3 linked regions of the Struthio camelus genome follow. The protein of the gene in region 1 interacts with the protein of each later gene in a pairwise test. Links are inferred from orthologs where the notes say so. Each region holds a gene or a part of one and is shown in the gene's direction. Other genes may lie near its edges.

Region 1 (3,739 bases):
ACTGCAGGGTGAGGGGGGGGCCACTTTGGGCTGAACCACTGCGGAGCGAGGGGGGAGCCACTTTGGGCTGAACCACTGCGGGGCGAGGGGGGAAGCCACCATGGGTCTGACTCCGGCAGCCCGTCTTGTTCCTCAGGTCGGCGGCAGAGAGACCTCGCCGCGCTGCCTCGCGTGGTGATGGCGGCGCTGAGCAGGACGCTGGGGTGAGCGCCGGCCCCGCCTGGCCCTCCCTCGCCGCCGACCCCTCCGCCTCAACGACGGCGCCGAAGTCGAAACCCCCGTTTTTCGGCCTGAAACCCAGCCGGGGCCGGCGCCCCCGCTGCCGCCTGGGAGCCCCGTCAGCGGGAGGGTGGGAGCGGGCCCGCGGCGCGCCCCCCCCCCCCCCCCCCCCGCCATTTCTAACCCCCACACCGTGACTTGGCCTCGGCGCTGAGAGATTTTTGCCTCCGGCCGGCAGGTCGCTGGGGCAGCAGGTCGCCCGCGGCCGGCTGCCGCCGAGCTTCCGCCTGCTGCACGCCTCCTGCGGCCGCGGCGACTCCAACAGGACGTCGGTGGCCCGCGTCCGCCGGCAGGCGTACGGCCGGCTCTACCCCGTGCTGCTGGTGAAGACCGATGGCTCTACCGTCCGCGTCCGCTACAAGGAGCCCAAGAAGATCCTGACGGTGAGGCGGCGGCGGGCGGGCGGGAAGGGCCCCGGGAGGGAGCCCTGATCCTGATCCTCGCCGCGGCCGGTTTCTCTTCCCTCTGCAGTTGCCTCTGGACAGCAACGCGCTGCCCGAGGCCGAAAGGAAGGCCCGGCTGCGGCGACAGTTCCCCGCCCGGTTTAAGGCCCCGAAGGAGGAGGCGTTCGAAGACGTCAACCTGGACGAGTACAAGAAGTTTTGGAAGAGCTAAGGGCCGGCCGCTCGCGGACGCCGTTTGGAGCGCTCCCGCCGAGGCTCTAACATAACGTCCGGAAGAGAAAAATTTGGAAAATAATTCTTTTTCGGTGGAATTTCCGAGCGTTTCCTGTCTGGTTTTGTGCGGGGTGCAGGCAGGCTGCCCCTGTGTGGGGGAGGACGGACGTCGCCTGTAGGCCAGCCGGGGAGCCGACGTGGTGGTGGTGGTGGTTGAGGTGGGATCGGGACCCCCAGCCCTTGAGGCCGGCGCTGTTTGGGGGGAAACTCCCCGGTTTCGGTGGTCCCTTTGGTTCCCCCCACCCCCCCCCACCCCCGCGTGGCGGCGCGATGGTGCCGCCCGCCGCCTCTCAACCGTCCCACTCCCCCCCCCCCCGGCGGCGGGGCGCGGTGGTAGCGCCCGGGGCGGGGCGGGAGCGGCGCGCGCCGCTGGGGGCGGGGCGCGGGGTGGGGGAGGGGGAGGCGCAGCGCGGGGCGGCGCGGCCGGAGCGCGCGGGCGAGGTCTGCGGGGGGCCGGGGGGGGGGGGGGAGTTGCGCGGCCCCTGCGCCTTACACCGCCCATCCCCGTCCCCTCGGGGCGGTCCCCCCCCACCCCCCCACCCCCGCGGTGTGCAACACCTCCCTGCGCGGCCTCTGCACCCCCCCGGGCTGTGCAACCCGCCCCCTCCAGCCTCTGCACCCCCCCGGTTCGTGCAACCTCCCCCCCCCCCCGGGCTGTGCAACCCCCCCCGCCCCGCGGCCTCTGCACCCCCCCGGGCTGTGCAACCCGCCCCCTCCAGCCTCTGCACCCCCCCCGGTTCGTGCAACCTCCCCCCCCCACCCGGTTCGTGCAACCCCCCCCCCCGCGGCCTCTGCACCCCCCCGGGCTGTGCAACCCGCCCCCTCCAGCCTCTGCACCCCGCCCCGGTTTGTGCAACCCCCTTCCCCGGCCTCTGCACCCCCTCGGGATGTGCAACCCCCCCTCCCGACTTCTACACCCCCCCCCGGTTTGTGCAACCCCCCCACCCCGGCCTCTGCACCCCCCCGAGCTGTGCAACCCCCCTCCCCCCCCCCCGACACCATCCAGTCTTTGCAACTCTCCCCCCTTGGCCATGCACCCCCCTGCGCTGTCCAGACTTTGCAACACCCCCCCCCACTTTTGCAGCCCCCCTTCCCCACGCTTGCAGCCCCCAAGTCTTTGCATTCCCCCCGCGGCAGGGCTGGGGTGGCGGCAGCGCTGGTGCTGGTGGTGGTGGTGGGAATGACTTTTGCCGCGACGTTTCGCGCCCGCCCCGTCTCCCGCAGGCTCCGGCGGCACCATGTTCGGCTCGTCCCGCGGAGGGGTGCGCGGCGGGCAGGACCAGTTCAGCTGGGAGGACGTGAAGGTGGACAAGCAGCGCGAGAACTACCTAGGTAAGGATGGAGGAGCCACCACCTCTGGAGGAGCCACCTCTGGAGGAGGGAGCCACCACCTCCGGAGGAGGGAGCCACCTCCAGAGGAGCCACCACCTCTGGAGGAGCCACCACCTCTGGAGGAGGGAGCCACCTCTGGAGGAGCCACCACCTCTGGAGGAGGGAGCCACCTCTGGAGGAGCCACCTCTGGAGGAGGGAGCCACCACCTCTGGAGGAGCCACCTCTGGAGGAGGGAGCCACCTCTGGAGGGGGAGCCACCTCTGGAGGAGCCACCTCTGGAGGAGCCACCTCTGGAGGAGGGAGCCACCACCTCTGGAGGAGCCACCTCTGGAGGAGGGAGCCACCTCTGGAGGAGGGAGCCACCTCTGGAGGGGGAGCCACCTCTGGAGGAGCCACCTCTGGAGGAGCCACCTCTGGAGGAGGGAGCCACCTCTGGAGGAGGGAGCCACCACTTCTGGAGGAGGGAGCCACCACTTCTGGAGGAGGGAGCCACCTCTGGAGGAGCCACCACCTCTGGAGGAGCCACCATCTCCGGAGGAGCCACCTCCAGAAGAGCCACCACCTCCAGCACCCGTGACACCACCTTCTCGTACCCGCAGGCAACTCGCTGATGGCCCCGGTGGGCCGCTGGCAGAAGGGCAAAGACCTCACCTGGTACGCCAAGGGCAAGGCGGCGGCGGCGGCGAGCGGCGCGGCGCGCGAGGAGGAGCTGGCGGCCGTGCGCCTGGCCGAGCGCGAGGCCATGCTGGCGGCGCTGTGAGTGCAGAGAGGGGGGCGAGCGGTGGGGGACCCCCGGGCGAACCCTCCCCGCCTGCCCCTTCCTCCTCTTCTCTTCCCGCAGGGGTTACGGCACCGCGCGGCGGCAGCGGCCCGCCGGCCTCAGCAAGGAGGTGAGAACCGCGTCACCCCACCCCGCCGCCGCCCCGGGCCGAGCTCGGTTTTTCGGTGGGCGCCAGGCGGAGACGCCCTCCTTCACCGTCGTTTCTCGGGGGCGGTGGGCTTTGACGCCCGCAGGACCTGGCCGAGGTGTGCAAGCGCGGCGGCGGCGAGCGCAGCCGCCAGGACGTGGACCGGCTGGTGGGATTGGGCAGCTCCAGGTAACGTCCTGGGGTTCGACCTCCCGCGGTCCCTCCTTTCCCCGGCGGAAACGGGACGCCCGGCGGAGCCCGCCCGCGTTTGGCGGACGCCCTGACGCGGCGCTTGCCGTCCCCCGCAGCGGCTCCGCCGGCCGCCTGACGCTCTCCAAGGAAGACAGAGAAGCGGCCAAGATGGGGCTCTCGGTCTTCACGGTAGGTCTACGCTGCGGGAAACGCGAGGTTTTTTGGGGGGTTGGAAGCGAGTAACGCGCGTGTTGCGCTTCCCCTCCCCGGTTCCCTTCCCTTTTGCCCACGCTGCGACGCCGGGGGACGACTCCCCGCGCTCGCCCGGGGTTTTTCTTTCTCCGTAGCAT
Region 2 (3,739 bases), on another chromosome or scaffold:
ATTAAGAGTTCACTCAGTACTCCAAGTGGCAATACCACGCGTGTCTGGCTCTGTCTTAATCTTCTCAAAGGTCTGTTTTATATCTTTAGAACGTGTAAGAGAAAGGGAGACAGAAAAGGGCAGTTGAGGCAAAGCGACAATGAACAGAGCTGGTTTTCTACAACTGAAAATAGGAGGATGCAATACATATACATTTTTCAGTGTATTCCAAGTTTTATGTCAACACTACATCCTCCCACTATAATTTAAAGTTTTATAAGCTCCTCCAGACAAACGTTCCGTAAAAGTGTTCTGTACTATTATGGGTCCACGAGATTTCAAAACAAAGTGTCACTCTGTGTTTTCTTGTTTTTATTTGTCCATTCTGAAGATTTTAGTGTAGGAAATCTAAAACTTTACGAGCAAAAGACATCTTTGTGGTATTAAAACATGTTTTTCTGGTATTAAAATATAAATGTTCTCAGATATAAGAAAACAAGTTAAAGTACAGTGAGCACATAGATATATGAGAATGCTTTATATCTGATAAAGTGGAAATTCCCCCCGCACAGAATTACAATAGTTGAAATTATCCACTGTGTAGATGTGTCATCCCATGAGTCATATCTCATATAATAGTACACATTAAAAAAAAAAAAAAGGAAGCTCAGGGCACATACATGCATCACAATTACTTAAGTACATGATTTATGTTTTTAAAACCGAAAGAGCTGTGTACACCCGACCCTCTGCTTTTGCAGACGGTCCATCTCTATGAATGACTGTTTCTTTGCCCCTACGAAAAACTGAAGTGCCCTGAAGAAAAAAAAAAAGAGCAAAACAAAGCTCTCTACTTCCCTGAACGACCCCTACCATCCCACCTACCGGGGCTATCAAACATGCCCGACTCCAAGCGAAAACTCCGTCCCAAACTTCGGGGGCGGCCAGGTATGGCAGCACGCACGGGCCTGGCCAGCACGGGCAGGCAGGAGGCACACCGCCCATCCGCCACTGCGCATGTGTGGGCAAGCGCAGCAGCTCACTTTGCGCGCTAGCGGGCGGCCGGGCTGCGCGGCGCGGTCACCTGTTGCGGGCAGCGGCGCGGGAGCCGTCGTCCCTCCGCGGCCGCCCGCCTGCCGCGTTTTTAAGTTTACTTGAGCAAAACGCCGCCGGGCTCAGGCGTTTTCGCCTAGTCCCGCCGGGCCTTGGTTTTTGCACGCTTTTTTTTTTTTTTTTGGGGGGGGGGGGGAGGAGCCGCCTCGGTCCCTGCCGCGGCTCCGCGCTCCCCTTCCGCGGGGGAAGAGGGCACCGCCGCCCCCTCCGCCGGCAGTGAAAGCCATGCGGTGGCTGGACGGCGTGTAGCGGGGCGGGCTGTGCCCTTTGATCCGGCCGCTTTCAGGAAGTGCCCTGCAGCTGTGGCCGTGTTGGGGCTTCCGTGCGCGGGGCTCTGCGCCCCGCGCAGCCACCGCCGCGCCCCCCGCCGCTCCACAAAAGGTGCTCGGCGCTGCGCGGCGCGCATCCCTCCGCACCCTCAGCAGCCACTCCCGCTCCGCTAGGAGGAGCGTTTGCGGTCTCCGGAGTGAAAATAATAATAGTAATAGTCCTAATAATAATAATAATAATAATAATAGGGAGGTTTCTGCTTTTGTGCCTGTGCCCCGGCGCGGGGCAGGCTGCGCGGCCGCCCGCAGCGCCGTCTGCCCTCGTCCCGCGCCGGGAGAGCCCCGCTCCCTGCGGGCTTCAGGAGAAGCTTGAAACGCTCGTGTTTCTCCACAAACTGTGTTGACAAGCGATTGCTGAAAAGGGCTGGGAAAATTACATCTCGTCTCTGGTGGGGTGAAATATGAAACATGTAATCTAACGGTTCCTGAAGAGGAGGAGAGGGGGGAGGAAGAGGGACTTCTCTCCCTCTCTCTGTTTCCCTGCTCCGGGTTCCTGGTTGGATAATTTGGGTTAATACTAGTGAGTGAGCCTTTTGCTGCTTCAAAGGGTATTTCAAGTTGCCGGAGCTCCTCCCCTCCGCACCGTGTGACAACAACAACTCGTCCAGAGAGCGAGCGAGCGGCGAGCGGCGGCGGCAGCCAGCACTTCCCAGCTCATTTTCTCTCTGTCATTCCCCTCTCAATCTTTGATCAATGTACTTGCCAGAGAGAACCGAAGTCCTTCAAACCTCCTCCTTTTCACCTTCGTCTTTAACGTGGTGCTAGAGCAAGGACCACAAAAAGAAACTGCCCTCCCCCTCCCCTCGGCCCCAGCCCCGCCGCCCGGAGCGGACTTCTCCTCCTCCTCCTCCTCCTCCTCCTCCGTCCCCACTTGCGGGACACTTTGTGCGTTTCTCTCTCTCACTCTGCCCCCTGCTCTCTCGCTCGCCGCAGCACCTGATCCGGGGTTATTCCCCCCTTCTTCTCCCCCCCTCCTCCCTTCTCCTCTCCTCTCCCCCCTTTTTTTTTTAATATATATTTCTTTTAATTTCCCCCCTTTCCCCTGCGTGTGTGTGTGGGAACTTTCCCCCCTCCCCCTGCCCCCCTCCGCCGTATATGTGACCATGGCCGTACCGGCTGCTTTGATCCCTCCGACCCAGCTGGTCCCCCCTCAGCCTCCGGTCTCAACTTCTGCCGCCTGCACCACCACCACCACCACCTCCTCCTCGTCGGCCACCTCCTCTCCGTCTCCGTCCATCGCTCCCCCGCCGGCCGCCTCGGGGACAAACCTATTCCGGCCGGAGCCCATCGCAGCGGCGGCGGCGGCGGCGGCGGCAGCGGCGGCAGCGGCGGCCACAGTCACCTCCACCACCAGCGGCAGCGGCAGCGGCGGCGGCAGCGGCGGCGGCGGCGGCGGCAGCCCCAGCCTGGGCACCGGCGGCGGCGGCGGCGGCGGCGGCAGCAGCGGCGGCGGCGGCGGCGGCAGCGGCACCTCCACTCCCAATGCCAGCGCGGCCAGCGCGGCCGGCAGCCTGCCGGGCAAGCCGGTGTACTCGACCCCGTCCCCGGTGGAGAACACCCCCCAGAATAACGAGTGCAAGATGGTGGATCTGAGGGGGGCCAAAGTGGCCTCCTTCACCGTGGAGGGCTGCGAGCTCATCTGCCTGCCCCAGGCTTTCGACCTCTTCCTGAAGCACTTGGTGGGGGGCTTGCACACGGTCTACACCAAGCTGAAGCGGCTGGAGATCACGCCCGTGGTGTGCAACGTGGAGCAGGTCCGCATCCTGAGGGGGCTGGGGGCCATCCAGCCCGGGGTCAACCGCTGCAAACTCATCTCCAGGAAGGATTTCGAGACCCTCTACAACGACTGCACCAACGCCAGGTAAGCGCCGCCAGCGCTCGCACGCCCCACGCGGGGCCCCGCCGCCCCCCTCCCCGCCGCCGCCGTCCCTCCCCGCGCCGCGCCGCTTCCCACGGCCGCCGAGCCGGCCCGGGCCGGGGGTGAGGGGCGCCCGGCCGGCTCCCCTGCGGCCACATGCGCTCGCCCCCTCCTCCCCTCCGTGCCTGGCACCCGACCAGCCTGCCGAGCAGCCGGCTGAGTTCCTCCTCGCTGGGACAGGGAGAGAAAGGAGAAAGGGTGTTTCTGCCCCGCTGGCCCCCTCCGCTCGTGCCGTGTGCCGTTGTCGCACTGTCATTGTGCCCTTCTGGCCGCGCTCGGCCGAGGGCTGCCGGGGGCCCGGGGCAGGGCGTGCGGGCCGGGGAGTGGAGGTGTGTGTGTGTGGGGAGGGGGAGCAGCAGGGACAGAAAGTGCTTTCTGACCTCCGCCGTCCTTAGCTTTA
Region 3 (3,739 bases), on another chromosome or scaffold:
GGGCTGGGGCTGGAGCCGGAGCCGGGGCTGGAGCTGGGGCTGGAGCCGGAGCTGGGGCTGGAGCCGGAGCTGGGGCTGGAGCCGGGGCCGGGGCTGGAGCCGGGGCCGGGGCTGGAGCCGGAGCTGGAGCCGGGGCTGGAGCCGGAGCTGGAGCCGGGGCTGGAGCCGGGGCTGGAGCCGGGGCTGGGGCTGGAGCCGGGGCCGGGGCTGGAGCCGGGGCCGGGGCTGGGGCCGGGGCCGGGGCTGGAGCCGGGGCTGGAGCCGGAGCTGGGGCTGGAGCCGGGGCCGGGGCTGGAGCCGGGGCCGGGGCTGGGGCCGGGGCCGGGGCTGGAGCCGGGGCTGGAGCCGGAGCTGGGGCTGGAGCCGGGGCTGGAGCCGGAGCTGGGGCCGGGGCTGGAGCCGGGGCCGGGGCTGGAGCCGGGGCCGGGGCTGGAGCCAGAGCTGGGGCTGGAGCCGGGGCCGGGGCTGGAGCCAGAGCTGGGGCTGGAGCCGGGGCCGGGGCTGGAGCCGGAGCCGGAGCTGGGGCTGGAGCCAGGGTTGGAGCCGGAGCTGGGGCTGGAGCCGGGGCTGGAGCCAGGGCTGGAGCCGGAGCTGGGGCTGGAGCCGGGGCCGGGGCTGGAGCCAGGGTTGGAGCCGGAGCTGGGGCTGGAGCCGGGGCCGGGGCTGGAGCCGGGGCTGGAGCCGGGGCGGGCGCGGGGCGGTGCCGGGGCGGACGCACCGCCGGGCCCGGCCCCTTTCCCCGCCTCGCCCGGCACAAAACGGCGGCGGGGGCGGCTCGGCCGCACACGCTCCCCGCGGGCCGGGCCGGGCCGGGCCGGGCCGAGCCGAGCCGGGCCGAGCCGGGCCGAGCCGAGCCGAGCCGAGCCGAGCCGAGCCGAGCCGGGCCGGGCCGGGCCGGGCCGGGCAGCAGCGGCGGCGGCGGCGGGGCCGGGCCGGGCGGGATGTAGCGATCAGCACCGCGGAGAGCGGCGGGGCCGGGCGGGCCGGGCCGGGGGGGCCGGGCCGGGGCCATGGCCAGCGCGGAGCAGGGCGAGAAGCAGCTCTTCGAGAAGTTCTGGCGAGGCACCTTCAAGGCCGTGGCCACGCCGCGGCCCGAGAGCATCATCGTGGCCAGCATCACGGCCCGCAAGCCGCTGCCCAGGTAAGGGGGACCCCTTACCCCCCCCCAGTGTTATCCCCTCCCCACACCGGCTGGGCGAGACTGCAGAGACCCCCCCCCGGCTCTTCACCTCCCCCTCCTTAGGGGCTGGGGGGCTTGGAGGGACCCCCTCGGCCTGGGGGATCTTGGATGCCCCCCGTTAGGGGCTGCACCCGCCGGGGGAGAGCCGCTCCGGAGGAGAGCGGGTTGGGGAACCCTGGCTTCGGCGGGTGCTTTGACCCCGAGAGCTGGTTGCCTCCGGGGGGAGCAGGATGAGGGTCCTGGAAATCTCGTGCTGGGCCCCTGAGGGCACCCGAGAAAGTGTGGGCACCCCCGGCCGGAGTCCAAGCGACCGTCCCCGCTGTGCAGGCCCCGAGGAGCGCGTGTCCTGCTGAGCATCTCGCCTCTGCATCCCCCCTTCGCCAGGCACCCACTGGGAGCCCTCAGGAAGGCGATGCCCGGGCAGGGTGCGACCTCCGCTGCCTGGGTGCAGGAGGCGATGCTGATGTCTCCCCTGGGGGCACGTGGCCCCGAGGCCACGGCTGCTCAGGTGCCAGCGGGCAGCGAGGGGACCGAGGCAGCCCTGGCTCTGATTCCCTCCAGGGCACCCGGCTAGCGGCCGACGCTTTGCTGCAGGCACGTCTCCCGCTGCTCTGCCCCTCTGGGAGGGCACGGCCTTCCCGTGCCCCCAGCTCGCCCCGCCGAGCGGTGCCCGCTGGGCACGGGGCTCTGCCGTGCAGCGCAACACCAGCTCAGCGCTGGCTGGTGCACAGGGCTGGTGCCCGTCCGCCCTGTCCCGGCCGGGCCCAGGGACCCGCTGGCCGATGCCACGGGCTTTGCCGGCAGTGGAGCGGGGGCACGAGCCGTGAAACGGGGTGCAGGGGCTGTTAGCCCCCGAGGGGCACGGCAGTGCTGCCAGGCGTGCAAGAATCCCTGTGGATTCTGCTGCTCCACAGTAGCTCCGCTCCGCTTCGGAGCGCTTTTATTGTCGGTGTCTTAATATTGGTTAAAAATACCCGCTTTGCACTGGTTTTCCAAGGAAATGAGGCTTTCGCGGGTTCCCTATTGTTGCTGTTGGCTGCTCCCCACCCAGTGTGGGGAGCGACCAAAAGTTTCACGAGCAGGATGGGTCGGTAGAGGAGAGCCGCTTGGTCTGCAGGGCGGTGGCGCAAGCTGAGCCTGCGTGCCGGCCGCGGCAACGCCGCCTCTCAGCCGCCGCTCTCGGCGGCCCAGCCGCCCCGGCGGGTTTTGTTAGGGACGAGCGCGAAATCGCCCGTCTCGCTGATTGTGATCAATCCGATTAGGAAATTGAAAAAGACACCGCTTAGCCTTCCAAACGGGAAGAGCAGATCTCATTTCCGCAGAGGGCATTCGGCACGGCTTCGGTCTTGGTGCGCGAGAGGAGCCACCGGTTTGTCTCTCCCCCCCTGCACCAGGTTACGTTATTCACATGTTGGCCCGCAGACCAGCCAAGAGCGCGCTGTGTGTCCGCGCACGCACGCACACGCTCTCTCCTGCCTGAATTGGCTTGAAAGAGCCGTGCTTTTTAAATGTCTCGCAATGAAAGATGAAATAAAACATCAAATTAGGCTGTCGGGGGGATCCAGTGAGCCCGCGCAGCAGGAAGGATGCCCGGCTCCTGCATGGCGATGAAGCAATTCCCATCGACGAGCATCATTCACAGCAAACGTTCGCGTGCGGTGGCTGCGAGCCCGTTTCCGGGCCGCCGGCTCGGCCGCGGGTCGATGCCTGGGCTAAGCGCAGGACGGGAGCGTTTTCAGGCTCCATTAAAAGTTCCCAAATGCAAATGGGCTCGTGTCTTCCGGAGCACTAAGCGCTCGGGCGGGAGGGGGACACCATCTGCGCAGCGGGGAGGAAGCGCTCAGCGGAGGGGGGGGACCGGCCCCGGCGCCTCCGGGCTGCTGCGTTTCACACCTTGGCGCTGGCAAACCCTCCCTGCTGGAGGGCCGGGCGAGGGGCCGTGCCCCGAGGGGCCGCGCCGCGGGCTCGCGAGCTCTCCGCCTCCATCCCCCCCGCGGCTTTTGTCTCCTCGCAGCATATGTCGCCGGAAAGCAAGGCCGCGCAGCGGGGCACGGGCTACGTGATATTCCCCGCGGGCCGGCCATCTGCACCGGCGCGCTCGCCGCAGGCGTTAGCGTCTCGCCGGCCCCGGCAGCCCCCTCACGCGGCCGCTTTCCCTCCGGCGCGGGGCAGGCGCGGCGGTGGTTAGAGGTTTGCTGCAGCCCCGCGGGTGGCAGACGGGGGTTTCCTGCCCGGGGACCAAAGCCGGAGGCTGGAGGAGGGCGAGCGAGGTCGTGCTTTCCCGAAACGCCGCTAGGCCCGCGGCGTGCTTCTGCTCGCCAGCCCGCGCGAGAGGGAGATCGGTCCCGAGGGCTGCGCCGCTCCTCTCGCGTCTCTCTTCCCGGCTCCGCTTTGGGGTCTGGTTTTTCTCCTGAAGGTTTCCCCAGGCTGCTCATCAGCGCGGCCTTTTTTTTTTTTTTTTTTTTCCCCCGAGACTATTCCTGGCTCATTTAAGAGCAAATTAAGCTGCTTGCAGGGAGCAGCCTGGCACCGGGGAGGAGACGGAGAGGCCGGTTAGAC

The links.
Region 2: the proteins of C2H1orf35 (region 1) and DACH1 interact in binary tests that used the Homo sapiens proteins (3 or more experiments, as listed by UniProt). The two-hybrid records come from large-scale screens. The link is inferred for Struthio camelus from reciprocal best matches to the Homo sapiens genes C1orf35 and DACH1.
Region 3: the proteins of C2H1orf35 (region 1) and serine/arginine repetitive matrix protein 4 interact in binary tests that used the Homo sapiens proteins (3 or more experiments, as listed by UniProt). The link is inferred for Struthio camelus from reciprocal best matches to the Homo sapiens genes C1orf35 and SRRM4.

What each region holds. Positions count from the first base shown.
Region 1 is NC_090943.1:3,605,035-3,608,773, reverse strand, and holds the start of C2H1orf35 (multiple myeloma tumor-associated protein 2), read left to right. Parts: upstream 1-973; 5' UTR 974-1,114; intron 1,115-1,331; exon of another isoform or gene 1,332-1,397; intron 1,398-2,022; exon of another isoform or gene 2,023-2,180; 5' UTR 2,181-2,194; coding exon 2,195-2,288; intron 2,289-2,888; coding exon 2,889-3,045; intron 3,046-3,130; coding exon 3,131-3,179; intron 3,180-3,303; coding exon 3,304-3,386; intron 3,387-3,505; coding exon 3,506-3,578; intron 3,579-3,736; coding exon 3,737-3,739. Other genes in the region: MRPL55 (large ribosomal subunit protein mL55), read left to right, coding at 178-203, 458-662, 751-894.
Region 2 is NC_090942.1:179,042,281-179,046,019, forward strand, and holds the start of DACH1 (dachshund homolog 1), read left to right. Parts: upstream 1-1,397; 5' UTR 1,398-2,524; coding exon 2,525-3,282; intron 3,283-3,739. UniProt on the Homo sapiens protein: Transcription factor that is involved in regulation of organogenesis. Seems to be a regulator of SIX1, SIX6 and probably SIX5.
Region 3 is NC_090958.1:7,357,769-7,361,507, forward strand, and holds the start of serine/arginine repetitive matrix protein 4, read left to right. Parts: upstream 1-983; 5' UTR 984-1,010; coding exon 1,011-1,141; intron 1,142-3,739. UniProt on the Homo sapiens protein: Splicing factor specifically required for neural cell differentiation.